Linked DNA regions of Diceros bicornis minor. The protein of the gene in region 1 interacts with the protein of each later gene in a pairwise test. Links are inferred from orthologs where the notes say so. Each region holds a gene or a part of one and is shown in the gene's direction. Other genes may lie near its edges. The genes, in order: NDN, P4HA3, MIER2 and FXR2.

What was found.
Region 2: the proteins of NDN (region 1) and P4HA3 interact in a two-hybrid assay, tested with the Homo sapiens proteins (2 studies listed by BioGRID). The link is inferred for Diceros bicornis minor from reciprocal best matches to the Homo sapiens genes NDN and P4HA3.
Region 3: the proteins of NDN (region 1) and MIER2 interact in a two-hybrid assay, tested with the Homo sapiens proteins (2 studies listed by BioGRID and IntAct). The link is inferred for Diceros bicornis minor from reciprocal best matches to the Homo sapiens genes NDN and MIER2.
Region 4: the proteins of NDN (region 1) and FXR2 interact in a two-hybrid assay, tested with the Homo sapiens proteins (2 studies listed by BioGRID and IntAct). The link is inferred for Diceros bicornis minor from reciprocal best matches to the Homo sapiens genes NDN and FXR2.

What each region holds. Positions count from the first base shown.
Region 1 is NC_080744.1:76,965,342-76,971,942, forward strand, and holds NDN (necdin), read left to right. Parts: upstream 1-4,446; 5' UTR 4,447-4,537; coding exon 4,538-5,515; 3' UTR 5,516-6,090; downstream 6,091-6,601. UniProt on the Homo sapiens protein: Growth suppressor that facilitates the entry of the cell into cell cycle arrest.
Region 2 is NC_080746.1:56,656,324-56,663,719, forward strand, and holds the start of P4HA3 (prolyl 4-hydroxylase subunit alpha-3), read left to right. Parts: upstream 1-4,378; coding exon 4,379-4,578; intron 4,579-7,396. UniProt on the Homo sapiens protein: Catalyzes the post-translational formation of 4-hydroxyproline in -Xaa-Pro-Gly- sequences in collagens and other proteins.
Region 3 is NW_026691553.1:98,760-106,683, reverse strand, and holds the start of MIER2 (mesoderm induction early response protein 2), read left to right. Parts: upstream 1-4,908; 5' UTR 4,909-5,659; intron 5,660-7,924. UniProt on the Homo sapiens protein: Transcriptional repressor.
Region 4 is NC_080757.1:10,725,657-10,732,686, forward strand, and holds the start of FXR2 (RNA-binding protein FXR2), read left to right. Parts: upstream 1-4,011; 5' UTR 4,012-4,339; coding exon 4,340-4,420; intron 4,421-7,030. UniProt on the Homo sapiens protein: mRNA-binding protein that acts as a regulator of mRNAs translation and/or stability, and which is required for adult hippocampal neurogenesis. Specifically binds to AU-rich elements (AREs) in the 3'-UTR of target mRNAs.

The sequences.
Region 1 (6,601 bases):
TTTCAGTGGTTCTCAGAGACTGAACTGCCCATAAAAGGGCTTTTAGCAGTGTATGGGGAAAGTGTCTTTTTGTTTTCTTACACTTTGTTTTCATTTTTCCCATTTCTGGAGGGCATTTATATGTGCGTTTGAAGGGGACAGAGGCATAAACTGCTTCGGTGTGCATTACACTCTTACGCAATGAAAAATTTTCCCACCCTCATGTCAGGATGTTACCCTTTGAAGAACCCTCCTCTAGAGGCTTTCTCAGGGTGACGTTATTTACCATCTTTGTTTCCCAAACTTCTCTTTCCAGCCCAAGCCTCTTTCGTGAGACCTATATATCCAGATATTTGCTGGACATGTCAACTCCCTCTTCCCACTACCTCTCTCCAAATAGTCTCAGGAAGTGGTGCCTCCATATCATAGCTACATGGCACTGCTCAGTCTTAGCTGCCCCTGAGACGGAATCTTTGTCATCCTTGATACTCACAGTCTCCCTTCACCTTCTCTTATTATTTATATCTTCCCCAGCATCCCTATTGAACATGGGTTCCCTCTGTTCTATTCTCTGTGACAACATTGTTGCTCCCTAGCAATATGCATCATAGAATAATGCACGATTATTTAATACTCATTTGTTTGTTTGCTTATGGCCCCTTTTCTCCACTAATTACCCTCTCTCTAGATTGCAGAGACCATGTCTCTCCTTCTCATTATATCCCCAGGCACAAAGCCTGAAATGTAGTGTTTAATAAATACCTGCAGAACGAAGTTGAAATGCAAGCCATCATTCTTTCTCAAGTGGGTTCCTGTGAAAGATCTCCTAAATGGTCTCTCTGCTTCTCCTTATCCACCTGCCCCCAACTCCAGACTTAATTCTAGTGACATTTCTAAAGGACACTCCTGATCTTGTCAGTTCCTAAGTGCCAGCAGGCTACATTGTGGGTCTGGGCAGGACTAGAAGATCTCCCGTTTTAGTGAGCGTCTTTTGGCCTCAGTTGGACAGGCATGCACAGCGTTATCCTAGGGAGAATGCAGGGATGAGGGGCCAGGGTTGAGTCCCCTCCTCCACTCTCCCAACTGTGGAAAGCAGCACAGCCTGTCCTCACTTATTCTTTTGAAACAAAAAGGAGCCAGACAGCCAAACAGTCCCAATGCAATTGGTTTCCCCCTCAGACTGAGCTACTTTTCTAAAATGCAAATCTTTCAGGCACATGATAGACATTGCTCAATATTTGCTGAACACATTAATGTGAATTGTCTGTCTCAATTCCTTGGCCTGCAAGGCATTTGGGGCCCATATGGGGGCTCTAAGGTGGAGGTTGCTGCCTATGCGTACAGGAAAGAGCCAGAAGGATTCACATTTCATTCGGGGCCTCTGGGCCTCCGCACTGTGAGCATGCGCGCTGTCCACCGGAGACTCTGGGGTGACCCCCCTTCCTCTGTTCGCTATGGAAACCAGTGCCAGGACAGGCCTCTCCTCCTATTCCTGAGTCTGCCAAGAACAGCCTATTCCACAGCTGTGTAATCTGTTCCACATTACAGAGTTTGAAGTAACCCACCAGCAAAACTGTCTTCAGCAGAATGTTTAAGTTATAACTTCTCCATATACTTCCTGCATCCATGGAACTTCTATTTACAGAAACTTGACTTAAAGAGTAGCCTTTAATGAGTTTCTCTGGGGAGTTATTTTGTAAACTTCAAGCCTTTGCTTCTAAGCTGCTGTCCCTGAAAGGACTCATTGCCCTTATCAAATAGGGCTAGCCCTGGAGATAACCAGCAAGCCTAATTTATCCCCAGCATTCTCAGAGCATCACCGGAGCTCCAGCCCTGAATCTCGACCCTTGAATTAAAGAAGCTGTGGATGGCTCTTCTTTCCTATGGTGCCTTCTGTCCTTTTCCTTATCCTTCTAAAGGTCTGCATGTCTGGTTCACGGGTAGGCACTTTATTAGATAGCTATCAAGCTACTGACCTCTCCCATGACACATGTGCAGTATACTTTCTCTACTTAAAGGCTAACCCGAGCATTACTTTTTTCACCCCCCACTCCATGAATTTCCTTCTTGGTGGGAAATGGACCCTCTTCAGCAGACCTTTTCCTGGGAAGAAAATGATATCCCTTTAGGAGGCATACAGTTGGGCTCCAAGGGTGAGCAGCACTGGGAATCTACTATGTACTTGGTTTCAAACTTGGGCGTCAGTCCCAATGCTTTAAACTCTCTGAGCAGAATCCCTTATAGTAGTTCTAATCCACAGGCTCTTGTGCAGTAATAAACAACCCTCCTGTCAGAAATGAGGTGTGAAGTGAGCTGTGGTAGTAGTGGGGGTCAACTGTTGCACATAGGCAACTTCACTAGAATGAGGTTCAGTCCAGGAAACCCAGGCAGCTCTCTGGCCAGAGCTCTGAGATCCCACTACAGCAGGAGCTTTTATAATTTTATAACTGTTGCGTTTTTATAATTTTTCTTATCATTGCTTTCATAATTTTTATAAACAAGTGTTTTTATACTTTTATAATTGTTGTGCCCGAGCTTGTGATTTAATTTCATGAATCCACTAATTCTAGGAGGGAGAAATTTGAGGATGTAATTTTAATAACCTCACAATGGCAAAAGTTATGGCATATGGCCAAAGCTGAGCTGAGATTTAAATAACAGTCTCTTTCATTTTCATTATTAGAAATACCATAAATGAACTAAATACTTAACCCGAATAGTTAGAAAAGAATATCCAAATGAAAGAAAAAAAGAGGAAGAAAAATTAATGGTGATAAAATCTGAGAAATGAGGATTATTCTCAAGAAAAATGTTTTTAATAAATCAATTCAACAGCCACTCGTAAATAATTTTAAAAAAACATATAACTGACACAACTCTGTAAGATGTACTCAGAAAAATAGAAATCCATAACTTAAAGAAGAAGAAGAAAATAAACAGGAAAAAATCCATCGAAGACACATCTCAAAGATCTGTAGAAATTATCCTTTTGAGGTGAAAGCTTAAGGAGACCTACTGGAGAGACTGGTGTGGGACTGGTCCTGCTAAATGTGATACAAGCATGGACATCCAAAGATAGAGAAACAGCATGGAAAACGCTTCAAAGTCAATCTACTTGAGAGAAAAAAAAAAGTGAAAAATAAGAAAGGGATACAAGCAAATAAAGAGAGGACTCTAGAAATGTCAAGACAGTATTTAATTATGCTTTGGGTTGCAGGTGACAATATCCAGACACAAGATGGCATATTTATGAAGCTGTTGGCTTGAGGAAACCCAGGAAGGGCTGAGGGACCACGCTAGCTCAGACCAGGGATGTTGATCACTCTCAGGAACCCTGGATCCAGAGGCTTCTACACCCACCCACTCCTTTCTTCATGGGTGCTTCTCTGAGAGTTTTGTTTTGTTTTGTTTTGTTTTTGCCCACTGCAGATCTGTTTTCTGAAACTGGAAAACACAACTGCCAATACGTTGCATCTGATATCCTTGGTCATCTGAGAGAGACTGCCAGATATGATCTATGGGACCCTTGTTAAAAAAAAAGTCTTGGGAGGGATTTGCGTGTGGCTGCCAACATGGGAACAGTTAGTTGCTGCGAGAGGGTGGGGGTGGGGCCCTGTGAGAAGGTGAAGTTCCCACAGAACACAGAGTAGAGGTCGCAGCAGTCATCAGGGGAAGGAGGGAGCTGGGCAAACCAGGAAAAAGATATCATACAAATTTATGCTAATAAATATGACAATCTTTGTATGATAAGATCTTAATGGAAAAATTAAAATGAAATCAAAATGACCCAAAGGAAATGGAAAACCAAAATCAATGACCAGTAAAATACTAACAATGTCATTAGCATAGCATCTCCAAGAAAGTTTCCTTTGCACATGGATTGACTATATTCTGCATTTCTTATTTTATAATCCCTCTGATTTGGTAGGGATTCCGTCAATTTTCATTGGTATTTCTCAGGATTCCAACCTCAGACATCCTCCTCACAGTTTCTATATTTTTTGGGGGGGCGGGGGCAATCTCGATTGTTCTCTCAGTTTAAATTCTCACATTCGCTGCCATGAAATGCCAGTTTACACACCAGCCTAGATCTTTTTCTGGGACTCTCATATCTAACTTGATTCTGGATATGCCCACTTGAACATTCCCTAAGAAACTCAAACTCAGCATCTCCGAAGCTTAAGTCATCTTTCCTCTTAAACTTGCTCCTCTTCCAGTGCTCATCCATCCCTCTCCCCTCCTCCTCAATACCTCCTTAGCCCAAACATTGACACCTGGGGATCACTGTTGCCATAATTCTAGCGGCGCCTCTACCCTCCTTGGGATCTCAACGCACACCCGCCCCCTTCGGGCTCCCCGCCCCGTCCCTGGGAGCTCTGCCTGCGGCAGCGGACGCGCAGGCGCAGTGGCCCGTCCCTCCGCCGCCCCGCCCCGCCAGGCCGCTGCGGAAGGCGCCGTGCGCAGCAAGGCGCACTTCCTCTCCAGGAGTCAGCGGAGGGAGAGTAGGCTCGAAGAGCTCCTGGACGGAGAGGCCGTGTCGTTGTCAGACGGAGCAGACATGTCCGAACAAAGTAAGGATGTGTGCGACCCCGGCTTTACAGCCGAGCCCTCCAACTCCGAGGTGCACGGCAGCCCTGGGGTTCCCGGGGGGCTCTCTCCGCCCGAGTCTCAGGACGCGACCCTTGCAGGGCCAGAGAGCCCTCCTCTAGGCCCGACCGACGCCCCTCTGGCCTCGCCGCCGCCCCAGGCCCCAAGCGAAGAGGGAGACCCGAAGGCCCTGCAGCAGGCCGTGGAGGAAGGCCGCGCCTACCAGGCCCCGAGCGCGGCCCAGCCCAGCCCAACGCCGCCCGCCCCGGCCCAGCTGGTGCAGAAGGCGCACGAGCTCATGTGGTACGTGCTGGTCAAGGACCAGAAGAGGATGATCATCTGGTTTCCAGACATGGTGAAGGATGTCATCGGCAGTTACAAGAAATGGTGCAGAAGCATTCTCAGGCGCACCAGCCTCATCCTGGCCCGAGTGTTCGGGCTACACCTGAGGCTGACCAGCCTGCACACGATGGAGTTCTCGCTCGTCAAAGCACTTGAGCCAGAGGAGCTGGACAGGGTGGCGCTGAGCAACCGCATGCCCATGACAGGCCTCCTGCTGATGATCCTGAGCCTCATCTACGTGAAGGGTCGCGGCGCCAGAGAGAGTGCTGTCTGGAACGTGCTGCGTATCCTGGGGCTGCGGCCCTGGAAGAAGCACTCCACCTTTGGAGATGTGAGAAAGCTCATCACCGAGGAGTTCGTCCAGCAGAATTACCTGAAGTACCAGCGCGTACCCCACGTTGAGCCACCTGAGTACGAGTTCTTCTGGGGCTCCCGTGCCAGCCGCGAAATCACCAAGATGCAAATCATGGAATTCCTAGCCAGGGTCTTTAAGAAAGACCCCCAGGCCTGGCCTTCCCGATACAGAGAGGCTCTGGAGGAGGCCAGAGCTCTGCGGGAGGCCGATCCCACCGCCCACTGCCCCCGCAGCAGTGTCTCCGAGGACTAGCAAGGTCTGGAGGCAGATTAATGGTTTCTGACCCTCACCAGGGCGGTGGAAGGGTGGGGGTGGGACATTAGAGTATTCAGGATTTACAGTGCAGTATTTCACGTGTAAGTTTGTTTTCAGTACAGTGCTTTTATACCTTTTAATGCAATGTTGTATTCATTTCCGTACTATTAGGTAGTGTGTAGGATTGATGCATGTTTGTTTATAAGTAAGCTTTGTTGGTGCTTTCGCTTTTTGTGCTACCTTTCTTGAATTTTTGTACCAGAGATGTGCTAAACTTATGAAATACATTGAGAAATTTTCCAGCTTATTCTTTTATATGGAACGGATGATGTGTATTGGGGTAGACTGCTCCTGGAGAGTTTGGAAGAACTCACCAGTAAAGCTGGCCTAACCAAGAGAAAAGTCAAGGCCCCTCTCTCTGACCTTGCTGGGCACAGGAACCATCCGTGTGGAGTGCAGTGATATGAACTGAAATGGTCTCAATGTGGGCACTTGGCACACTTCACTGAACACAAATACAACCCCACCATGAGTAAACTTTAAAGTAAACATTAAAGATTCTTGTGATACAATCATTTTTGGAAAAGTGTTCATCTTTTAAACAAAGTGGTATGGGTTGGGAATAAGACATTTTACAAAATGTACAAATATAACTTTCATCTAATAGGGTGGGAAAATCACTACTTATCATTACTCATAGATGTGTGAAGTTTATAGTTTTTTTTTAATGTAACTCGTTCATTTCAAACCTTTGACAAATATAAAAAAGTATAAAAAGAAAAAGCAAAAATGCTCATAGTCACATCACATAGAAATAATATTTAGAGTAATTTCCTTTCTTGTATTTTCTACATTTTATTAAAATTAATAGCTGTCTCTTGTGGGCAGTTAAGGACTGAAGCATTTTACTAAATGCTTTACATGCATTTTCTCCTTTTATTTAATCCTCACAACAGCGTGATGAGGCAGGCACTTAGTACATCTACACCATGGAGGAAACACAGGAAAAATGTAGGTAATTAACTTTACCTAGATCATAAAGTTTAGTGAGAGGAGGAGCTAGGATTCGAACCCAGACAGAAT
Region 2 (7,396 bases), on another chromosome or scaffold:
AAATGTCTAGTATTTAATCCAAAATTACTCAACATATGAAGAACCAGGAAAATCTCAATTAGTATGAGAAAAGAAAATCAACAGATGTCAAAGAAGAAATGACACAAATGTTGAAATTGTTGAAGATTGTTATAAAATGCTCCAAGTAGTAAGGGTGAACACTCTTGAAATGAATGGAAAGGTAGCAAGTATCAACAAAGAAATAGAAGATATAAAGAGGAAGCCAATGGAAATGTTAGAACTGAAAGTACAATCACCAAAATAAAAAAATCACTGATGGGGTCAATAGCAGAACAGACATGACAGAGAAAAGAGCCAGTGAACTTGAAAACAGATCCATAGAAATTATCTAATCTGAACAACAGAGAAAAAACATTTTTTAAAAAGTGAACAAAGCCTTAATGACCTGTGAGGCAGTACCTAATTTATGTCATCAGAATTGCAGAAGAAGATTTTGAAAAAGAAGTATTTGAAGAAATAATATATGACTATTTCCCAGATTTGACAAAATAGATAAACCTACAGATTCAAGAATTTCAGTAAATCCCAAAAAGGATAACCTCCCCACCAGAATTCATTCCCACATCATAAATCAAACCTCTGAAAAAGGAGGACAAAGACAAAATTCTTGAAACCAAGCAGAGAAAGATATGCATTGCTTATAGAGGAACAATGATTTCAACGACTATGTACTTCTCTTCAGAAACCATGGAGGCCAGCACAAAAAATAAAATTGAAATAAAGACATTCTCAGACGAAAGAAAAATAAAGGAATTCATTGCCAGCAGACTTGCTCTAAAATAATTGCTAAAGGAATTGAATCAGTGATCAAAAAACTTCCCACAAAGAAAACCCCAGGCCTAAATGGTTTTAATGGTGAATTCCACCAAATGTTTAAAGAAAAATTAACTCCAATCCTTCACAAATTCTTCCAAAATAGACAGAGGAGGAACATTTCCCAGCTCATTCTGTGAGTCCAGTATTATCTTGATGTCAAAACCAGACAAAGACATCATAAGAAAACTACAAACCAACACCCCCTGTTAATATAGATACAAAAATCCTCAACAAAATATTAGCAAATGAATCCAGCAAGATACAAACAAGATTTATCCTAGGAATGCAAGGTTGGTTCAACAAAAAAATCAATCATTGTAACACATCATATTAAGAGAGTAAAGGATAAAAACCACGTGATCATCTCAATACATGCAGAAAACATATTTGACAGATAAAAGCATTCAGTGAACTAGGAACAGACAGGAACTTCCTCAACCTAATTAGGGCATTGACAAAAAACCCACAGTTAATATCATACTTAATGGTGAAAGTCTGAAAGCTTTCCCCCAAGATCTAGAACAAGACAAGGATGTCCTCTCTTGTCACTTCTATTCAACATTATACTGGAGGTTCTAGCCAAGGCAATTAGACAAGAAAAAGTAATAAAAAGCATCCAGATTGGAATGGAAGAAGTAAACTATATTTTCCAATGTTATGATCTTTATATATGAAATCATAAGGAATCCACAAAAAACACTATTAGACATAATAAACAGTTTTAATAAGGTTACAGGATACAAGATCAATATACAAAAATCAATTGTATTTCTATATACTAACAACAAACAATCTGAACATGAAATTAAGGAAACAACTCCATTTACTATTGTATCAAAAACAAAACCATTTATATGAAATGCCCATGTAGGTAAATCCATATATAGATGGAAAGTAGATTAGTGGTTGCCACAGGTGAAGGGGATGGAGAATGACTGCTAATGGATATAGGGTTTCTTTCTGGGGTGAAGAAAATATTCTGGAATTAGATAGCGGTGATGGTTGCACAACTTTGTGAATATACTGAAAACCAATGAATTATACACTTTAAAAATGAGGATTTTATACTATGTGAATTATAACTCAATTTTTAAAAGAAAAAAAACTTATGAATAAGTTTAACAAAGTTATATATAATTTCCTAGCTCTGTCTGCTGAGAGGGAGGACCTGGGAGCAGAGAAAACCCAGTTGCAGTAAGCATACCTAGCACCCAGATCTTGGTTTCTGAATACTCTACTCCACTAAAAGGAACCAGGGCTCATGGGGGAAATGCTCGATTTCAGGACTGGGGCAAGGAAAGTACAAGATGACCTGGAATATCTTGCAAATAACAAAGTATGGAAGTGCTCAAGGAATGAAGGGGACATATCAAAAGGACACAGGAGCCCGATTGAAGAGCTACCACTGGCCAACTCTAGGGCAATTTGAGCATCAAAATAAGCAAAGTAATGGATTATAATCCATTCAATAAAATTCATGAGCCCATACTGATATAAATAAATGAATATGTAAATAAATGAGGCATCTCAAGATCCTTAACTTAATCACACCAGTAAAATCCCTTATGCCATGTAAGGCAACATAGTCACAGGTTTTGAGAATTAGGACCTGGGCATCATTGGGGGGGCCATTATTCTACCTACCACAACCCCCAACCTTCTATGGGCAGAAAGCAGTCTAAGACAACTACTCAGTTACAAACACAGGCCCATGGCCATTCCAACATTCCCGCCGTAAGGGGAAGTGTTATGAGTGTGATGGAGAGGGGAAGTGTTATGAGAGAGTGTGATGGAGAGGAAGCCAGAGTGGAAAGAGACAATTTAACCAATTTTGGTTAAAATAGTTTTCTTTTGCCAATTTTACAAATACATCTAATAATGAGAACACATTGCTAGGCTCCCCCATGCCAGGATCCTGAGGGCTTTGGGAAGGGATTGTGCAAATTAGGGGCCTTGAAGCTTAAGCCTCAAAAATTTCATGGTAAATCTGCCTCAGGTAGCTATTAAGAACACAGCATCTGGATCCACGCTACCTGGGTTCAGGTCCCTGCTCTACACTCAGTGGCTGTGTGTGCTGATTGTGTTGATGTTACAGATTGGGTTCTCTAGAAACGGATGCTAAGATGGAGTTTGGGGTGCAAGGTATTTATTAGGGGTCAACATCTGTGAAAGGGAGAGGCAGCAGGACAGGACAGAGGAAGACGTCAAAGAGGCTTAACAAGCCTTGATCAAGGTGGCAAGAGGGCTAGAGCTAGTGTTTCCTGTCAGAGCTGTCTCATGTTGGGCCTGAATGGCTGGGCCTTTATTCCCTCATCTCACTCAGTCACTGGATGACTATTATTGCCACCTTAAAGACTTCCACTGGATTTTCATTGAGCACAGGCTAAATTTCTGAGTATGACATGCAAAGCCCCTTCACAATCTGACAGTCCCAATCACAAGGAACTTTTCATCATTCCTAGAATTCAAACTGTTTTCCATCTCCAAACTTTGGTACACATGGGTAACTTCTGCCAGGAAAGCCCATCGCTCTCTTGCCTGTTGTCTTCCAGACAATTCCTTTTCATCCTTTTGGACCTGCACGCGCCTCTGTGAAGCCCTCTTCACCACTATGCAGGGACACCAGCGCCCTCCTCAGTGTTGCCATTTCTCGTTGCACAACCCTCAGTTACCCTGATAGCACTTTTTTGTGGTTGTGTGTTTACATATCTGTCTCCCCTTGTGAGTCCAGGGTTGGATGTGCTATTTTTCTGTGTCCTCAGCACAGTAACAGAGGTGCTAAATATCTGTTAAATGAATGAAGGAGGGAACACTGCCTAGCCTGGGAAGGAGGGGAAAAGAATAAGTAGCCTCCGGTATAATAATAACAATATTTTTGTTCCCTTAAGTGACTTTAGGCAGATTGTGTAGAGCAGTTGCCCAGGACCCCAGAGTTTTAGGTTCCATAGCTCTAGATTTGTCATGCACTGACCCTAACGGCCTTCATCCTCCTCACCCCGGGTCAAAATTCTACTCATCCTCCAAGAGGGCTCAGACGTCCAGAATTCAGTGAAGTGTTTTCCTCCCTTCTGCTCTCTCCTCGCTCTTTACCCGCACTGCTGTTACTATAACGCATGATTTACCCTCTTGGATTTCCCCATCAGAATCCAGTGGTGTCTCTGTATTTCCACCCTCTGATCCAAGGGGGTAAATATTTTGGAGACGGCGCGGTACAGCCATAGACCAGTGAATTCATCGCTCACCCATCCCCGCCTCCATTTCCCTAAGTGTGAAATGGGCACAGAGGAACACTTTCCGAGGGCCGTGATTTAGTGGAGGGTGTCAGACCCTGAGGTTGCAGGCGGCCCCCACGCGGTCTGAGGAGCTAAGGGGCAGGAAGCGGGGAGATGGAGAGCGAGAGGAGGCGTCAGAGCCAAGAAGGAGTGGAGGGGCGGGGGCCGAGGCGCCGCGGCCGGGGCGGGGCCGAGGGGCGGGCCGGGCGGGGAGCGGCGGGCGCCTGGCCGGGCTGGACGGTCCGAGGGGACGCGCGGGAGCGCCGGCCATGGGCCCCGCGGCGCGGCTGGCGGCGCTGCTGGCGCTGCTGGCGCTCCGGGCAGCGGACTCGGCAGCGGCCGCGGCGCGCGGGGACACGTTCTCGGCGCTGACCAGCGTGGCGCGCGCCCTGGCGCCCGAGCGCCGGCTGCTGGGGCTGCTGCGGCGCTACCTGCGCGGGGAGGAGGCGCGGCTGCGGGACCTGACCAGGTGAGGGACGGGGGCGGGAGCGACAGAGACGCCAGAGTGCGGGAGACTGAGTCAGAGGGCGAGACTGAGACACCGTGCTACAGGATGGGGTGACTCTGAGGTTCATTGTCATGTTGTGTGGGACCTCAGACCCTGTGTCACACCCTGAGACTGAGACACGGTGGCCCAATGTGACCCCCCCAGACCCATTGTCACCCAGTGTGGGACCCCGAGATACTGTGCCATGGGGTGATGGGGAAACTGAGACTGATTATGACCCTAGAGACGCTGTGTCACACAGGGTGGGGCCTCAGACTCCGTCACACACACACAGTGGCACTCCAGATCCAGCGTCACACAGCGAAGTTGATACACTGTGGGAAAGTGTGGTGGAGTGCCTCTGAAGCCAAGGACCTCACAAGGCACTGTGTCAAGTTGTGTGGGCCCCAGGTCTTGTGTCACAGAGATGCAGAGATACTGCCAGAGTGAGATGCAGAGAATAGTGTGTGATGCTGCAGCCACACATGTCTTGACCATGTGACCCAGTGAACTGGTGTTTAGTATGAGGAGTTGGGTGATGTTCTGTGACCTTGGAGGAGATTTACGCGTCATTGGGACTGGATGGGCAGGACACTATGGATATCATACTCTGCATGTGAAAGGTGCCAAGTGATTGTACAAGTCGCTCTATGAATAATGCTTCATGTTCATCAATTCATTCAACACTTATGTTTGAGTGCCTATTATGAGCCAGGCACTGTTCCAGGCACTGGGGATAAAATGGTGAACAAGACCCAACCCTGCCCTCAAGGAGCTTATAGTCTGTAGCATCACGATTGGTAATCAGAGATGTCCATGGCCTCCTTTGTTTTCAGCTCTCCCTTCTCTTTACTCATGTAAGAACTAAGTACTAAATAAATGATAACTGAGATGTTATATGTGTGTGAAAGTATTTGACAGCAAGAAAACACTGGGCAAAACCATACTTGATGCTAGAGGATACTGAGTGTTGCACACACAAGCAGATGCTCAGCCAATGTTGTTTTGCTATCCAATCAACAAACTCTAGTGCTACACACTGTGGGATAAAACACTGTAATCATGTATTGACTCTGTCAGTGTCAAACTAGGAAAGATGAGTGATTGTGTACAATGCCATGTGTATCATAGACACATATGTGTTGTGCTTTCTCTCTTTGGGACATTGGGAAGCCTACAGTGTGAGAAACAATGGTGTAACCATGTTGCTGTCTGAATATATTAATATTGTACTTCTATCACGTGACTCTCTGCTGAACTGAGACAACAGAGGGCTGTCTCACAATGTACTGCTTATCAAATTGTGAGTGTGTGTGATGGTAATACTGATTCTGGGACACATGGGAAGAAGGTGTGTGGGACACCATGGCTATGCGAGAGAGCCCATGTGGAAGAGAATCAGTTTGTGGAAGTGTGTGTGAGAGATCTTGTTTGTTACTCAATGGTGACTGAATGATGATGTGATTTGGTACATGCTCTTAAGTATGTAGCTGGCATATAAGCAGTTATATGCATGTTTAAATTTACTGTTAGTTTGAAATAGCGTGATGATACACACACGTGCACACCCACACATACACATATATATAATGTATGTTAAATCTGTATTAATTATAACAGTACATGATGATAATTTCAATAATTCTTGTCACTCTTTGGAGTAGCATAGTTGCTTAGTGTTCTGTGGCCCAAGTTTACAGAGCAAAATGTTTTAATTTTGTTCTTAGTCCAGATTCATTGGGGTCCAATTTCGTTAGTGGAAATAGAGCAGACTCTTTTCTCTTTGATTTAAGATACCCACATGCTCCCTGCTGCTTATGTGCTTGTTGTCCTACCACTAATCTCTTTATTTGAGTGGCTCAGATGGAGATGGGGAGCTCAGAATTCTGATGCCAGGCCCTCAGGGAACAGGCTCAGAAGAGAGAGCTTGCAGTGTTGATCAAACCGGCTGGCCAGGGATCCCCTCTGCATGCTGGTCTCTTTTACTGTCTTATCACCATTTTCATTGTCACAGCTTTGTCACAGTGGGAGATCTGGCACAAACTTTATCTCTTTTGATACTCTGTCACACACAATGGTTTGAAATAGGTTTGTATTACCCTCTTAAACAAATGAGGAATCATTTAAAATATGGGAAAACTATAGTTTTGTACCTTATCCAAGATTATAAATCTGGTAGGTAGCAAATCCAGGACTAGGACACAGTTCTTTTCATTGTTTCTTTCCATCATGCTATGCTTACTTTATCTGGCATGCCAGGACACAGACCAAGCCCCATAACTGCTAAGGTTTTATGAGCAGCTGGAGTACATAGTGGTTAAGAGTCTGGATTCAAGAATTTAACAGACTCTGCTTGAATCCTTGGCTCTGACCTTTGGCAAATTCCTCTGCCTCTTTAAGCATTAGTTTCCTAATTTGTAAAATGATGATAATGATAGTACCTACCCTTATAGGGTTGTTGGAAGGATTAAATACCATGTAAAGGTATTTATCATTGTGCTTGGCATATAATAATTGTTCAACAAATGTTAGCTCTTTATAATTGTTGTTTATTTTAAGACTGGCTGATGAAACTAGACCCCACTTTTGGCTCTAAGCAGTAACTAGGATTGTTGAGAGGCCAGATAATAAAAAAGAATCAGAGAAATTCTAGATTCTCTTCTCATATGACTTATGAGCATTTAATTTCAGAAAGTTTAGTTTGATATTTTAGAGACTGTCTATTCTCTAGTCAATGCCCTAAAACCTAGTGAAATGTTTGCCTTTTAAAACAAGAGTTTTGGCAGTTCCTGCTCGTTTT
Region 3 (7,924 bases), on another chromosome or scaffold:
GCAGCTTCTATGGAGAACAGTATGGAGAGTCCTCAAAAAATTCAAACAGAAATACCATATGACCCAGCTATTCCACTACTGAGTATTTAGCCAAAGAACCTGAAATCAACAATCCAAAGAGGCTTATGCACCCCTATGTTCATTGCAGCATTATTCACTATAGCCAAGACTTGGAAGCAACCCAAGTTGCTCAGTGGCGCAGCGGTTAAGTGTGCGCGCTCCGCTTCTGTGGCCCGGGGTTCGCAGGTTCGGGTCCCGGGTGCGCACCAACACATCGCTTGTCAGGCCATGCTGTGGCGGTGTCCCATATAAAGTGGAGGAAGATGGGCACGGATGTTAGCCCAGGGCCAGTCTTCCTCAGCAAAAAAGAGGAGGATTGGCTTTGGATGTTAGCTCAGGGCTAATCTTCTTCACCAAAAAAAAAAAAAAATGATGAGCATACAGCCCCCACTGCTGCCTGGGGCTCACCCACTCACTTCCACCACACCTTCTCCGAGGCTCCCCTGGTGAATGACTCAGACCCTCGTCCCTGAGGGGTCTGACGCCCTGTCATCCGGCTTCCGTCAGCCCGTGGGTGCTGTCCGCTTCACGTCAAAACTGGGCACAGAAGGATCCAGAAAGCCCGATGGTGACCCTGCTCCGTTGCAACCCCTTAAACACCGTGCACCCCAGTCTCCTAAACTTTGCCTCTGCTCCCCCTGCCGGGTGCCCTCGCCAGCCCCTCCTTTCCTCCCTACGGCTCAGTGCACACACTGCTCTTTATTTTCTTAGCTTTATTTCTTTTACTTTTTTTTTTTTGGTGAGGAAGATTGGCCCTGGGCTAACATCCGTGCCTATCCTCGTCTATTTTATGTGGGACGCCACCACAGCAGCACGGCTTGATGAGCGGTGGGGAGGTCTGTGAACCCCGGGCTGCTGAAGCGGAGCGTGTGAACTTCACCACCACTACGCCACTGGGCTGGCCCCACATTTCTTTCACTTGTATTTGAAAATCATTCAGGTTTACTGAAAAATTGCAAGAATAAGTATAGTCAAAAAAGCATCCACACACTCTTTCCCAGACTCAGCTGTTAACATTTCTCCCCATGGCTTTATCATTTGCACCCTTTCTCTCTGTCGCTGTCTCTCTCTCCCCGCGTGTGTTTTACAGACGTAAAATATCTTCTTCTGAAGCACTTACGAGTAACTTGCACACATCACGGCACTTACCCTGTCTTAGTTCCTTCGGGCTGCTGTAACAAAAATGTCATAGACCGCGTGGCTTATAAACAACGGAAGTGCATTTCTCACTCTCTGGAGGCTGGAAGTCCAAGATCAAGGCGCCAGCACATTCAGCGTCTGGCGGGGCCGCTTCCTGGTTCATAGTCGGCACCTCCTTGCTGTGTCCTCACGCGGCAGAAGGGGCCGGGAGCTCTCTGGGGTCTCTGTTACCCCTGATCCCATTCATGAGGGCTCTTCCTTCAAGTCCTAAAGACCTCCCGAACGCCCACCTCCTAATGCCACCACACTAGGATGATTAGGTTCCCATATATGCATTTCAGGGGTACACAGACATTCAGTCTGCAGTAACCCGTAAACACTTTGGTGTGAATTTCCTGAGAATAAGAATGTGCTAACCACAGAAGGGTTACCGATTTCAGTGCACTTAACACCGATGCCATACTTTCCTCTAATCCACACCTGAATTTCAATTTTGTCTGCTGACCCGATCATGTTGTCTGTAGCATCTCCCTCTGCACTCGGATCCTGTCTAGGATCACGTATTGCATTTAGCTGTCACGTCTGGAAGGTTTCCACAGGTTAGTCTTTTGCAGCATTAACATTTTTGAAGAATACAGCCCTTTTTTTTTTGGTTTGTTTAACAGAGGGTTCCTTATTTGAGGTCCGTCTGAAGTTTCCTCAAATACGGATACAGCTTGTGCCCTCCAGGCCAGATTAAGTGATACAGTGTCCTCAGCGCACCGCCCCTCACAAGTGACGTTAATTTTTCTCACTTGGCCGAAAGGTTGCCTCATTTCTCCTCTCTACCTGAGAATCAGTGGGTGAGGAGAGGCTTTCAGACCCTAAAAACACCCTTCTCTTCACCTGAACCCGCTTCTCCCTGCGTTTCACATCGGTCAGTGATTCTTGTCAAAGCTCTCTCCCCGGAGTCTTCCCGCTGCCCTAGGCAGACTCAAGCCCTTTTGCTTGGCTGCTGCCACCTGTTAGGACACGAAGCCCCACTCTCGTCGTATCTGCTGATGCGACTCCTGCCTCCCTGGAGCCCTGGCTGCCCAGCACCCCGCTGAGGGCTGGGGGTGGTGGTGGGGGGGAGACACATCACATTGATTGAATGAATGAATGACCAGCTGTTCTCTGTGTCAGTGAGGACTCTGGGTCACAAGAGCCTGAAACCCCATTCGCAGCCTGCAAGCCTACACAGGGAGCGGGGGCTCACTGACCCAGGGGACTGGAGAGCACAGTGGTGCTGCCCCCTCCCGCTGGCAGGTCCTGGGGGCTGGGGTAACGCTTTCCTATCGAGCATCACATCGTGCAGGGTGCATCTGGACTTCTCAGCACTGTGGTGGCTGACAGCTGGGAAAGGAACGGGGCTTGGGGGTCCCCTGACTCTCCAATTCCCTTCCTCCTGGCCTCAGCAGGAACCACCATCCGCTCACTTGCGCCAGCCAGAAATCTGGGGGCTGTCCCCCACGCTCTCTCCCCCTTCAGTCCCTCCCGGGAGCTCGTGGAGCCCACCGTCCCCACCCTCCCTCCGCTTCTCTGTTTCCAGCCGCCACCTCGGTCACAGGCCACACAGCGGCCAGCTCGGGCCACCTGGGGCTTCGCTGTTCCTCTCTTGCTCTCTCTACACCCGCCCTGTGCTCAATGCACTTGTCAGTCTGAAATCTAAAATGCCACCAAGCCCTGTTGGGACTCCAACTCCCCTCCAGCGCCCAGCACAGGTTCAGAACTGCAAACGGCCCGTAAATACGTGACCAATCAATAACGAGGGCCTTCAGAGCCAAGCGGGCCCGGTTCCCGCCCACCTCCCCTGCCCGCCCAGGCACGGACGCCCGAGTCCAGGGCGGCCACGTGTCTCAAGGCGCATGGTCGTAAGCTCCCCAAGCGACTCTTTGGCACCCTAGATGGATCATCACTGGTGCACAAGTGCAGAAAGTTCCAGAGCCACGCGGAAGTTCCAGAACCTTCAATCCTGGCTCCATCACTTATGCATTGGGGGTCGGTCCCTCTGGGCCTCGGTTTTCTGATCTGTGACATGGGGGTACTAATGCTATGGGGCCATGGGATTGGTAAGAGGAAACGGGACCAGCGTGCCCTACGCAGGTGTAGCTGCCAGGTGTTAGCATTCTCCCTCCGGCATCCCCCACCGCCCAGGCCCGGGCCCGGGCCAGGGGGCCCGGACCCTGTCCGCCCGCCCGCGCACCCACGCCGGCGCAGCCGGTCCGCGAACCTACTACGACGCGGACCCTGTCCGCCCGCCCGCGCACGCCGCCCGCGCACCTACTACGCGCCCGCCCGCCCCGCCCCCTGGCCCCGCCCCTGGCCCCGCCCGGCGCCCCCGCCCTCCCGGCGCCGCAGCCAATGAGCGCGCGGCCCCGCATCCGGGGATCCCGGCGCGGCCGCCGCCTCCCGCGCACACACGGCCATGGCGGAGGTGAGCGAGCGGGCCGGGGGAGCCGGCGCCCGCCCCCGCTCCGCGGCTCGGCCCGCCGGCGTGTCGGGGCTCCGGGCGCGGACCCCGCGGGGCAGAGGCCGGGCCGGTGCCGCGCCCGTGTGCCGAGGGGCGCGGGGCTCCGCGGCGGCTCCCGGCCCCTCCCGCCGCCACATCGCGGGCTGCGGCGCGCATGCGCGGGCGGGCGCGGGCGGGGGGCGGAGTGGGCGGGGGCCCTGGGCGGGGGCGCACGGACGCGGGGTGGGCGCCCGGCCCGGTCCCCGCGCGGCCGCGCCCCCGGGGTCCGCGGTCCCCCCGCCCCTCCCCCGCCAACTTTGCGCGGCGCTCGGCCGGGCGGCCGCTGCCCGGGGACCCCTGCGGACCCCCGCGGCCCGCGCGAGCCCCCTGCGGCGGGGGCGCCCTCCCGCCGCTCCCGGGCGGGCTCCGGCTCGCGGGGCGCTGGGGGTCGGAGCAGACCCCGGCGCCGGGGTTCCTTCTCCGTCCGCGATCGGGCGGCGACCCCTGGCCCGAAACGCTGGGCGCCGGCCCAGTGCTGGGATTCGGAGGGTTTCCGACTTGGGGACCCGCGGGTGGGCGCTGGGATGCGCGAGCAGACTCCCCGGGGCCGTCAGGGCAGAGACGGGCGCCGAGAGCCTCCTGCAGGTCCAGCCGGGGGCGGAAAAGTTTCCACTTCGGGAAGTTGGACGAGACCGTGCGACCCCCCTTCCCCCTCGCAGCCTGGGTGCGGGTGGGGTGACACGGTGCGCCCGCCGGGGCGCGGTGCGTGCGGAGGGTGCAGCCTGGACACGTCGCGCGGGTCCGCAGACCCAGCGAGTGGTCGTGGTCCGGGGGTGGGCCCCTGAGGCCGAGAGGAGAGGGTGCCCACCCAGGGGTCTGGGGTGTTCGGCTGCTCACGGGGCCGCATGGATAGTTTATGTCTGAGCGCAGCGTGGGTGCGCCTGCAGGGTGGGCCTGGCCACTCTCTCCCACCAGTGACGTCCTCGGGGGTAGCCATAGGCCCTGCACGTGCACCAAGGAGGGTGCAGGGCCTGACTCACCTGCCAGTCCCTGCCTTATGCTGGGTGGCTGGATCCAGAGGGTTCTTGGAGAGTTGGTTCTCCTTTCTTTGGGGGCATTTAGGGAAACTGAGGCCTCCTGTGGGCAGTGGCTGGCGTTGTGGGTTGGAGACAGAAGCCGAGTCTAGTGATGGCCCAGCAGGGTGTGGTAGTCAAGTGTGTGTGTCTGTGTGCGCTCCTGGCCCTGGGCATCGGGGGCCTTCTTCCTGGGCCCCAGGTGGCATCTGGGCAGCACTGTTGGCCTGGCAGGGATCTGTGTGTCGTGGGTGGACGGGATCGGCTCCCCTGCCAGCCTCTCCTGAGGGCTGCCGGGCTCGTCTGTTGACCCTGCCTTGCCCAGTGCCGAGCCCTGGCACCCTCGCGGCCGCCAGGTGCCTGGGGCGCTCCTGTCACCCCTGTTGACAGTTTGGGGTGGTGCCCTCTGAAGTGAGTTGAGTTGGTTTCCCGAGAGAAACCCTGTGTGCCTGGCTTCATTTGGGGCCCTGAAAGTCTGGCTGGGAGCAGAAACCTGACGATTCCGTCCTCAAGGGCCCGAGAGTCTGGGCAGAGAGGCTGGGCGGGAAAGGGCCAGCGCGTGTGCGAGGCCCAGATGAGAGGGGCCGCGGCCAGCCTCCGCCTGGGAGACTCTTGTGGCTCTGGAGCCTCTTGCTCTGTGTGACCTTGGGCAGGTCCCAGGAGGTCTCAGCTGCGGTTTCCTCGTCTCTGAAAGGGGAAGAGCCTAAAGGTCTCGGAAGATCTCGGTTCGGTGGCTGCGCAGAGAAGCTGGACCCTGTAAAATCACTGGCGACCAGCTGTCTCAAACTGTAGAGGTGGTGATGTGTAAGCTAGCAGTGACCCTTGCTCAGTGTCACCTGCCTGATCTCCGTTGTTGCCAGGATAGCCACCCGCACCCTGAGAGAAGACAGGGTGCTCTTTTCTCCTCGGACGCCAGGTTCGTCTCTCGAGGAGCCGAGTACACTGTCTTGTGATTAGAAGACGTGGCTCTCCGTTGTACTTGGGATAAAGTGCGTCCCTCCCTCCTCCCCCCGCCCCCGTGACCCCCTGCCCGCTGGTGTGGTCCCGAGGATCCCCCCCTGCCCCCTCGGGACCCTCCACGTCCACTTGTTTGTTGTCTGTGTCCCCAGCCAGGCTGGTAACTCGTGTGGATGGAGACAGGCGGAACCTGCTTCTCGATTGGCTGCCGTGCACCGGGCGCCTACCACCCCACCTAGCCCAGGACAGGTTCTCGGTGGACACTGGTCGGGTAGAGGCGGGAAGTGCTGGGGGTCCAGCCGGGGACAGCACCTCAGCCGGGGCGGGTGGAGGTGTCGATGCATCACGGAGGGTTCTTGAAACCTCAACGGTTTTGTTATCTCTCCTGGTTCTGGGGTTGCCTGGGCTCAGCTGGGCAGTTGTCACTCAGAGTCCTCACAAGGGCTAGTGGCCGGGGCTGGGGCTGGCCCCAGGGGAGGAAAGCTTCCTGGCTCCCGTGTGGCTGTCGATGCTGGCTGGGACGCCTCTGCCAGCCTGTCCGTGTGGCTTGGGCTCCCTCACAGCGTGGCGGCTGGGTTCCAGGAGTGACTGTCCCAGCACATCCCAGGGGAAACCTGAATTGCATTGTATGACCTTGCCTTGGAAGCAAATGGAGGCCCTTCTGCTAGTCACAGGCCCGGGCGGATGCACAGGGAGGGGCGCAGGACCCTGCCTCTCGAAGGGAGGCACATCCACGCACTTGGAGAGCCTGTGGGGTGGACATTTGGGTGCAGCCGTCTTGGAGGAGGGATCTGCCCCAGCATCCTTGTGGGTTGAGCTCGGAGGAGTGGTAGCTAGGAGTCAGACGCTGCCCGGGGGGCGAGGGCTCCTGCCTCTGCGTCTGAGAGGCCAGGGACCCCCCGAGACAGGATGGGCAGTCCTCCTGCTGGTGAGCAGGCTGCCTCTGCCACTCGAGGGGCCTGGGCAGGACCCCAGGCCAGGGCCCCTCTCTGCTGGGACCGAGTCTCCAGAGCGTGGCTTTCCTTCCGTCTGGTCCTCCTGCCGTGACTCGTCTTTCCCCGAGTGCCCTTGGCCAGCTCACCATCCTTTTCCTTCGTCCCCTCGGCACAGCGGAGGGCTGTGATGGATGGAAGCATCCAGAGTGTTCTGAACGAGGGGAAGGAGAGCCCCAGGAACTCCATGACTAGTGGGCTTGCCCCTGAAAGTCGAGGTTGGCGCAGGGGGAGGCGGAAATCCATGCAGTCTGTTCCTGGGTCAGTTTTGAGGAACTCGCAGTCGCCTGGAAGTGGATTTGGGGGTCCGGAGCCCCGTGGGGAACAGGCTGCCGTTCCTGCCGCTCCCCGCTCTGCTGCTCTGCCTGAGCTCCCGCTCCGACGGAGGGCCCGGTGCTCAGACCCTGCAGGCCCGCACGCCGCCGCCCCGAGGCCGCACCGCGGGTGGACGCAGCAGGGCTGTGCCCTGTTTCTCGCTCTGGACAGCGAGCGTCCAGTCAGCCTCTCTTAGTTTCCCTGCGTTAGTCGGGGCCCTTGGTTGCAGGAGACGGAAAGCCGGCTCTGGTGGAGAGGGAGCCCAGAGGGTCCTGCAGGGGCCGGGGGGTTCAGAGGGCACTGGGGCCTGGGCCCGGGGCAGCCTGCTTGCTGATGGCAGCCTGCTGTTTTCTGGAGGGAGGCGAGGCCGCCTCTGCCGGCCACAGGCTGACCCAGGGCACCGGGTGCCCTGCCCTCCTCGCCTGCTCCCAGGTGTGCTGCCCCAGCCCCGCCCGGCCGCTGGCTCCCTTTCCCTCCCTCTGCGTTCATCGCCTCCTGCCTCCCTGGGGCTCAGCTTCCTAAAGCCGATGGGCGGTGAGGCTCCCACTCGGCAGAGGCCCCCCCCACCCTTCCTCCCCCACCAGGCTTCGCCCTCCTCCTCTGCGCCTGGTCCTCGCCAGCCCCCACCCGTGCTACTGCAGTGCCCCGTCTGGCTCTGCCTCGCAGCTCTCGTGGCCTCACCGTCCGTTGGTGGACTTTCATTATGCTGCACATGGACTGAGGGGCTCTAAGGGGTTTCGGAGTCGCAGAGTCTGGGTTTGAGTTTGTAGTTGTATCACTTACTTGCTGTGTGAGCTTGGATGAGTGACTTGATCCCTCTGAGCTTCGATTCCCTTGTTTTTCTTATGAAGAGAATGCTTACACAGCCTCTTGAGGTTTTCCTGAGGAACCACTGAGGAAATTCTTACTAAACTTTT
Region 4 (7,030 bases), on another chromosome or scaffold:
AGCCACGGGGCCAGCCCTCTCTGCATTTTTTTAAACATTCTGTTTTTGTTTCATAGATATATGTTCTTTTCTTCTCTTTTTGAGGATATTCATGATAGTTTTATTTAAAAATGCTTTTCTCCTTGCATAGTCTTTATTTCTTCTATGTTTTTTTTTCTTTCTCTATTTGTTTTGGCTTCTGTCTTTCGTTTTAGAGGCTTTCCTCAAATGTCTGGTAATCCTTAGTTGTCTGCTGATATTGAAGATTGGGACACTAAAATACTGATTGGAAACTGTGTGTGTATATGTGGGCGGTAGGGAGGCATGTTGACTATGGCCTCTCCTATAGGGTGATCCACTAGGCTATTTCCATGAGGAGCCTCTGATTTCAGTATCATTAGGTCTTTTTTCTTGTCTGATCAGATTTCCAGAAAAGGCTCTTCCAAACTCCTACTTGGAGGGTATAAACCTGGCTGTAGGTATTCTCAGAGCTGGGTGAAGGAGTCTGGGGGAAGTCTTAACATTCAGTATGTAAACTTTCACTTAATCCTCATTTTCAGTATCTATCTAACCATCCATCTATCAATCTATCCCTCTTTCTATCTTCCTCCCAATCTCTCTATTTAGAAGTCCTAAGGCAGGGCCGGCCCCGGGGGCACAAGCGGTTAAGTGCACAAGCTCCGGTGCTCTGCAGCGGCGGCCCGGGGTTCGCCGGTTCAGATGCCAGGTGCGCACAGACGCACTGCTTGTCAAGCCATGCTGTGGTGGCATCCCATATAAAGTAGAGGAAGATGGGCATGGATGTTAGCCCAGGGCCAGTCTTCCTCAGCAAAAAAAGAGGAGGATTGGCAGATGTTAGCTCAGGGCCGATCTTTCTCACAAAAAAATAAAAAGAAAGAACCAGAAGTCCTAAGGCAAGCTGGATCATTCTGTTACACATCCTTTATACTCCAGCTAGAATAATCTTACTAAAAGGCAAGTCTGCTGAAGATCCGGTAATGGCTCCCTCTGCTCTCAGCAGAAAGTCCAAACTTCTAAATATATTTAATCCCTCCAAGCTCTGGCCCAAACCAACCCTTCCAACCATGTTTCCTCTCCAAGTCGGTTCTAACTATGTTAGACTCTTTTCAGTACCTCAAATGCACTGTATTCTCCTCTCTGAGCTGTCTGCACATGCCATTCTCCTGTCTGAAATGCTGTTCCCCTTTTCCCACTCCCATCCTTTGCCTGAATCAAGAATGACCAGAGCAGATAAGGAAGAGGAAAAATCAAGCCTGAGAGGACTGTTGGTGCCAAAAGCTTGGAAGTTGGTGATGGGGCCATTTCTAAAACAAAATTCTGTCACCCCTACTGCTTGAGTCCAAACCCACACTCTTCAGTCTGACAGCCAGCACTCTTGATAATCTGCCCCACTTAAGTTCTCTAACTCTCCCTACTCCTTACCAGAATCACTGCTAATAGTCTCTTTACCTTTCTGTTACCCTACTTACTGCTGTTCCTTCTCAGGCGCCTGGAAGGCTCCTCTTCTTTTATCAGCCCTTCATATACTGGTGTAGTTGAGAGTTCCATCATGGACCCAATTCATTTCTCAGTCTACACTTTCCTTTAGAGATTTAATTTTCTCTTACAGCTTTAACTATGACTAACATGCTGATGATTCCCACATCCACCTCTCTAGCCCAGACCTCTCCTGGGCCACACGCCTGTGTGTCCATTGACCTGCAGGACACTGATTCCTTCATTCAGTTAATATTTGCCATTCCAGGAACTGTGCCAGGTCCTGGGTGTACAATGGTGGGGACAAACAGACATGGAACCCAGTCTCTGACCTCACAGAGCTTATAGTGTAATGGCAGAAGAAAGATGCTGGACAAATCATTAACATTACAACCATGATAAGTGCCACAAAGGAATATAGGATGCTTTGGCAGTGGGAGGTGGGAGGCCTAACCTAGTGTGGGCATAGTAGAAGGCTAAAGAAATTATATATATATTTTTTAATAATTTTATTTATTTATTTTTCCCCCCAAAGCCCCAGTAGATAGTTGTATGTCATAGCTGCACATCCTAGCTGCCGTATGTGGGACACGGCCTCAGCGTGGCCAGAGAAGCGGTGCGTCAGTGCACACCCAGGATCCGAACCCCGGCTGCCAGCAGCAGAGCGCGCACACTTAACTGCTAAGCCACGGGGCGGCCCGAGAAATTGAGACCTGAAAGAGAAGTTTGTTGAAGACAAAGGATCGTGTCCACCTGGATGGTGGATCCTCTGACTCAAAGAGGGAAACTAAAATCACTAAACTCATCAACTTCTCCTCCAAACCTTTGTCTCTTGTGTTCTCTCTTCCATGATTGGCATCACCATTCACTCAGTAACCCAAGGTAGAAATCTGAGAGTTGTCCCGTGTTCCTCCCTCTTCTTCATTGGCTCCTCACCCCCACCCCACCGAACCCTCATCACCAATTCTTGTTGATTCTACTGCAAATTTAACAGGTGTAAATCAACTTGTACCTCTGTTACCCTGAGCCCTAATCAAGGTAGATCCTCAGCATCTTTCTTACCTGCAAGGGCTCCTCACAGGTCTCACCCTTACTCTTTAATCTATTCTCCACAGTTGTAAAATGTAAATCTTATCCCATTATACTACTGCTTAAAACCTTTCAATGGCTCTCCGTTGTTGATAAAGTAAAAGCCATTCTCTTTAATCTGATTTGCAAGTCTTTCACAGTCTAGCTTCCTGCAGCTCCCTACTTCAAGCCAAATGCTATTTGAACTGGTTGTGGTTCCCCCGAAAGACATACTCTTTCTGCTCCTCTGCACCATTGTATTCCTTGTTCTCTCACGAATACTCTTACTGCACTTTTCCTCTAGCAAACTTCTATTCATCCCTCAAATCTCAATTTGCATCACCTCTGCTTGGCCTTCCCTGATCACTCCGAAGAACAACTGACCATTGTCTCCTTGGAATTTTCTCTATCCCTAATCCTTATCTCTATCATATCTTCAGTCAAACTCTATGCACTTATTTGTTAATTTATTTATTTAAACTTGTTTAATTGCCCCTTCCCCAATATATTATAAATTCCTTGAGATCAGGGACCACATCTTGGCTTTGTATCCCCAGCACTTAGCACAGTGATTGGAACACAGTGAAGGCTAAATAAATTTTTGCTAAATGACTAAATGCACAACACGTGATTCTAATTTCTGTGCTATTTTTATTCGCTTCTACCTAAATTTCTTCCTTAGTTCAAGAACCCGAAGTTTCCCCTCTACTATCCTTACTCCATAACGATTGTTCCTATTTTGAATTTCCTCAGCCTTTAGATATCACATTTTGTGCTGATCTAAGTTGCACTTGCTTTTCGGTACTGCTTTGAAATTATTTTTTAACCTTTCATTATATGCATGATCAGAATTTTCTCTAGGCAACAACGTGACTCAAATTTCCTATGGGAAGGAGTTACAGAAGCTCAAGAGTCGGTAGACGCCTATGGACAGTAAAGCTCAGGGCCTGCGCACCGGGCACCTTTTTTTGCCTTTCGACTCCTCTTCTTTTTTTTCTTTAGAGCGTGCGCACCAAGAAAGACAAAGGTGGGGCAAGTGACCAAGCAGTCATTTAGGCGCATGCCCATCCCTAACTTGTCCAAGCCTGGGGGAGTTCCCAGTGGTAAAGTGGCTGTGGTCTGACCAGGAGCTGCAGAAATCCAATCCAACTGAGTGAGCTCGGCTCCTCCCTCCCCACGATTGGTTAACTCTCAGTGTTGTGGGGCGGGGAAAGGAAGAGCTGGGGGCGGTGGAGTGGTGGTGGCGAAGAAAGGGGGCCAATCTCGTTCTGCGCAAGCGCAAGTAAGCGACCAGGAGGGGGCGTGCGAGAGTGAAACGGAGTTGTGGAAGCCCTGATGCGCTGGCGAGCACGAGCTGGGTCGCCAGTCTTGACGCCTGCGCCGTGAGCCTCGGGGCCTCGCGCGCGGCGGGCGGGTGCGCGGTGCGCCTGCGCAGTAGGCGGAGGCGGCAGGGGGAGGTGGAGGCCGTGGAGAGGCAGCGGCAGCCGCGGGTCCCGGGACTGAGGCAGCTGCGGGGCGGCGGCGGGCGGAAGCTGAGGTGACGAAGGCAGCGGCGGCGGCGGCCGTTTCCCTCACGGTGGCGGAGACCAAGGCGGCGGCGGCGGACGGGGAGCGGCCCGGCCCCGGCCCCCTGCTCGTTGGCTGTGGCAGGGCCGCCGTGGGGCCGGCCCGGCTCCCGCCCCCCGCGGCTCCCCCTCCGGCTCCTCCTCCGGGGAGACGCCGGGGCCCTGGCCCGGCCCGTGGTCAGACCGCTGCTGCAGCAGCCGCCGGGGGAGTCGGAGGAGGTGGCGGCGCCATGGGCGGCCTGGCCTCTGGGGGGGATGTGGAGCCGGGACTGCCCGTCGAGGTGCGCGGCTCCAACGGGGCCTTCTACAAGGTGAGGCGGCGCGCCGACCGGGGACACCCGTCTTTAGCCCCCTCCCTCCAGCCAGAGCAGGGAAGAGTGGGGCGGGATCGAGCTTCTGGAGCTAAGTCCTGACCCTTAGAACCTGAGACCCACACTTTCACCCGCAGCCCTCCTGGGGAGACCTCTGGAAGTTAACCCCCTACCTCTTGGTATTTCACCTGCTTTTACCTCCTTCTCAGAGACTGAACATCAGGTCATCATTGTGCTTAGATCAGTGTCGTCCGCCGCTCCGGCCCCCGTCGCCAAGAGACCCCATTTACCCAGCTTCCTATTGACTTTTCCTGTTTCCTAGTGGAAGACATACCTTAGACCTTAATCACATCTTCCCCACAGTCCAAGCACATGGAGAATTCTCTTTATTCTTCCCTATTAACCCCTTGGGAAGGCCGTCCCATATTAGATCCTTTCGTCTTCCTGGGAGAGGCCTCTTCCTACTGGCTCTGGAAGACTCACCCCACTTTCATCTTGTATTTCTGTTCCCAACCCAAGGAGAAACGGTCAAAATCCATTTATGACATTTGTTATCTTTGACCTCAGGAACTCTGGGTTGTACCATCAAGTTGCCTCCTTAGCCATAGGGTGGCATCTTTTCACAAGTCTCTCACCCCACCCCTTCATCCCAAGGCTAGCTGGTTTACCAGTCTACCCAGGGGTGGATTTGTATTTGTTGTCTCACTTTCACCTCAAATACATTTAGATCATTCATTTCGTTTCTAAATGAGTGTAAGCTTCGTATTCATGATCTCTAAAAGGGGATCTCATGAGGATTCCTTCTGTCTTAAGGATTTCCACTTCTAGAAGACTTTTGGCCAACTCTCCCAATTTGGGAATCTGATAGCCTTTTTTTGAAGAAGAAGGGGACTGTCTTTAAAAGATCCTTGTTTACTTAAGCTTGCCCATCACCCAGGATTTGGTTCCTTAGATTTCCTTTTCTAGGACATTTTTTAGGACATTTACATTTAGCCAGAGGGAGACCCCTCTTGCCTCTCAGGAATTTTTCTTTGTGTGACTGTTGTTATTTTGAACTGCTTTGGACTTTATGCCTGGAATTTTTGCAGACATTTCTGTCTTAGTCTTTCATTTTACCCTGAGGAGCAAGAGCTGAGATATCTTCTCATAACATCACTTGTGAGAAGAGCCCCGTTTTCCTTTACTTCCCCTCAAACCTATTCTCCCATAAAAGAGCTCTCTACCTTCATGCCCTTGGAAATGACTTTCTCCAGCTCCTTCCTTGTGAAGTTATATCTTACTGTAACTGGAAAGAGTCTCATATTTGCGCTTGTAGTGGAAGGTTTCTGCCCCAGCTTCAGTTGGTAAGTTCAGTGTAGGCATTTTTTTACCCACTCTAAGTGCCTATCCATTTCTGCCCTACTTCCCTCACCAGATTTTTTTATATTCAGTGCCTGAGGGTACCCACATCTGTCTATCTTAACTTATTCTCTGAATTTAAGTCTTTGGCTTTTTATCCTAGTATTTCTGTATTCCTCTGTAATCCCCAGGAACTATCTTACTCCGTGTCTCAAAGAAGCTCCCAGCTGATCCTCTTCTGTCATTTTTTCTGCATACTTTCCTAACTCATGGGACTTTTTCTTCTAGCCTGTCTCCATAGCATTTCTGTTTTCTTTGGCAGTCTCTAATTCCTTTCTGATTCTGACAGAGTACATTTGTCTCTTATATCCTTTTCCCCCAAACCAGCATTACCTTTGTTGAAATACCCTTCCTCATAAGATTTTAGCCCCAATTTTCCCATCTTGTCTTTCATCTGGGTCCTTCCCACTCGAAATTCTGGGTTCCAAGAAGAGTGATTCTTAAATTGAGTCTGAGATCAAGATATGATGTTTGCTTTTGTTCTAGGAAACGTGGGAGCCAAGTGCAGCTGGGAAAGATTGGTATCCACTTCAAATTAACTGGGAAGAATGGGCCGGCCCGGTGGTGTAGCGGTTAAGTGCGCGCGCTCCATGTCAGCGGCCCGGGGTTCGCAGGTTCAGATCCCAGGCGCGCACCGATGCACCGCTTGTCAAGCAATGCTGTGGCGGCGTCCCATATAAAGTAGAGGAAGATGGGAATGGATGTTAGCCCAGGGCCAATCTTCCTCAGCAAAAAGAGGAGGACTGGAATCGCATGTTAGCTCAGGGCTAGTCTTCCTCACAAAAAAAAGAAAACTGGGAAGGGAGATGTTTTCCTTTCCACATATGAGTGTCCAACAGAAAATCGCTCTCTGAATCTTTTTCTTTTCTCCTGTGGGCTGTGGCAATGATAGACTTGAGTGAATTGGGGACAGGATACTTTGAATCAGAGAGTAGAGTTTGGAGCTAAGCTGAAAGCTAGGTAATGTGGATTTTGTGTTCTGGCTACTTTAGCATTTTCTGCCCCATGCCTCGGTTAAAAACAATAGTAAATCTCTAAATTCAACTAATCTTTCTTCAACTTTCAGTGCCATATAGATACTTAGCTATTCTGACCTTGCTACTGATTTAATATTCATGACTCAGCAAATTTCAGTGTGGGTCAAGGAGTGTTTGTTTATATTGCTTCCAGAACTATAAATTTGGGAAGGTCCCTTTTACCCCTCTCAGAATT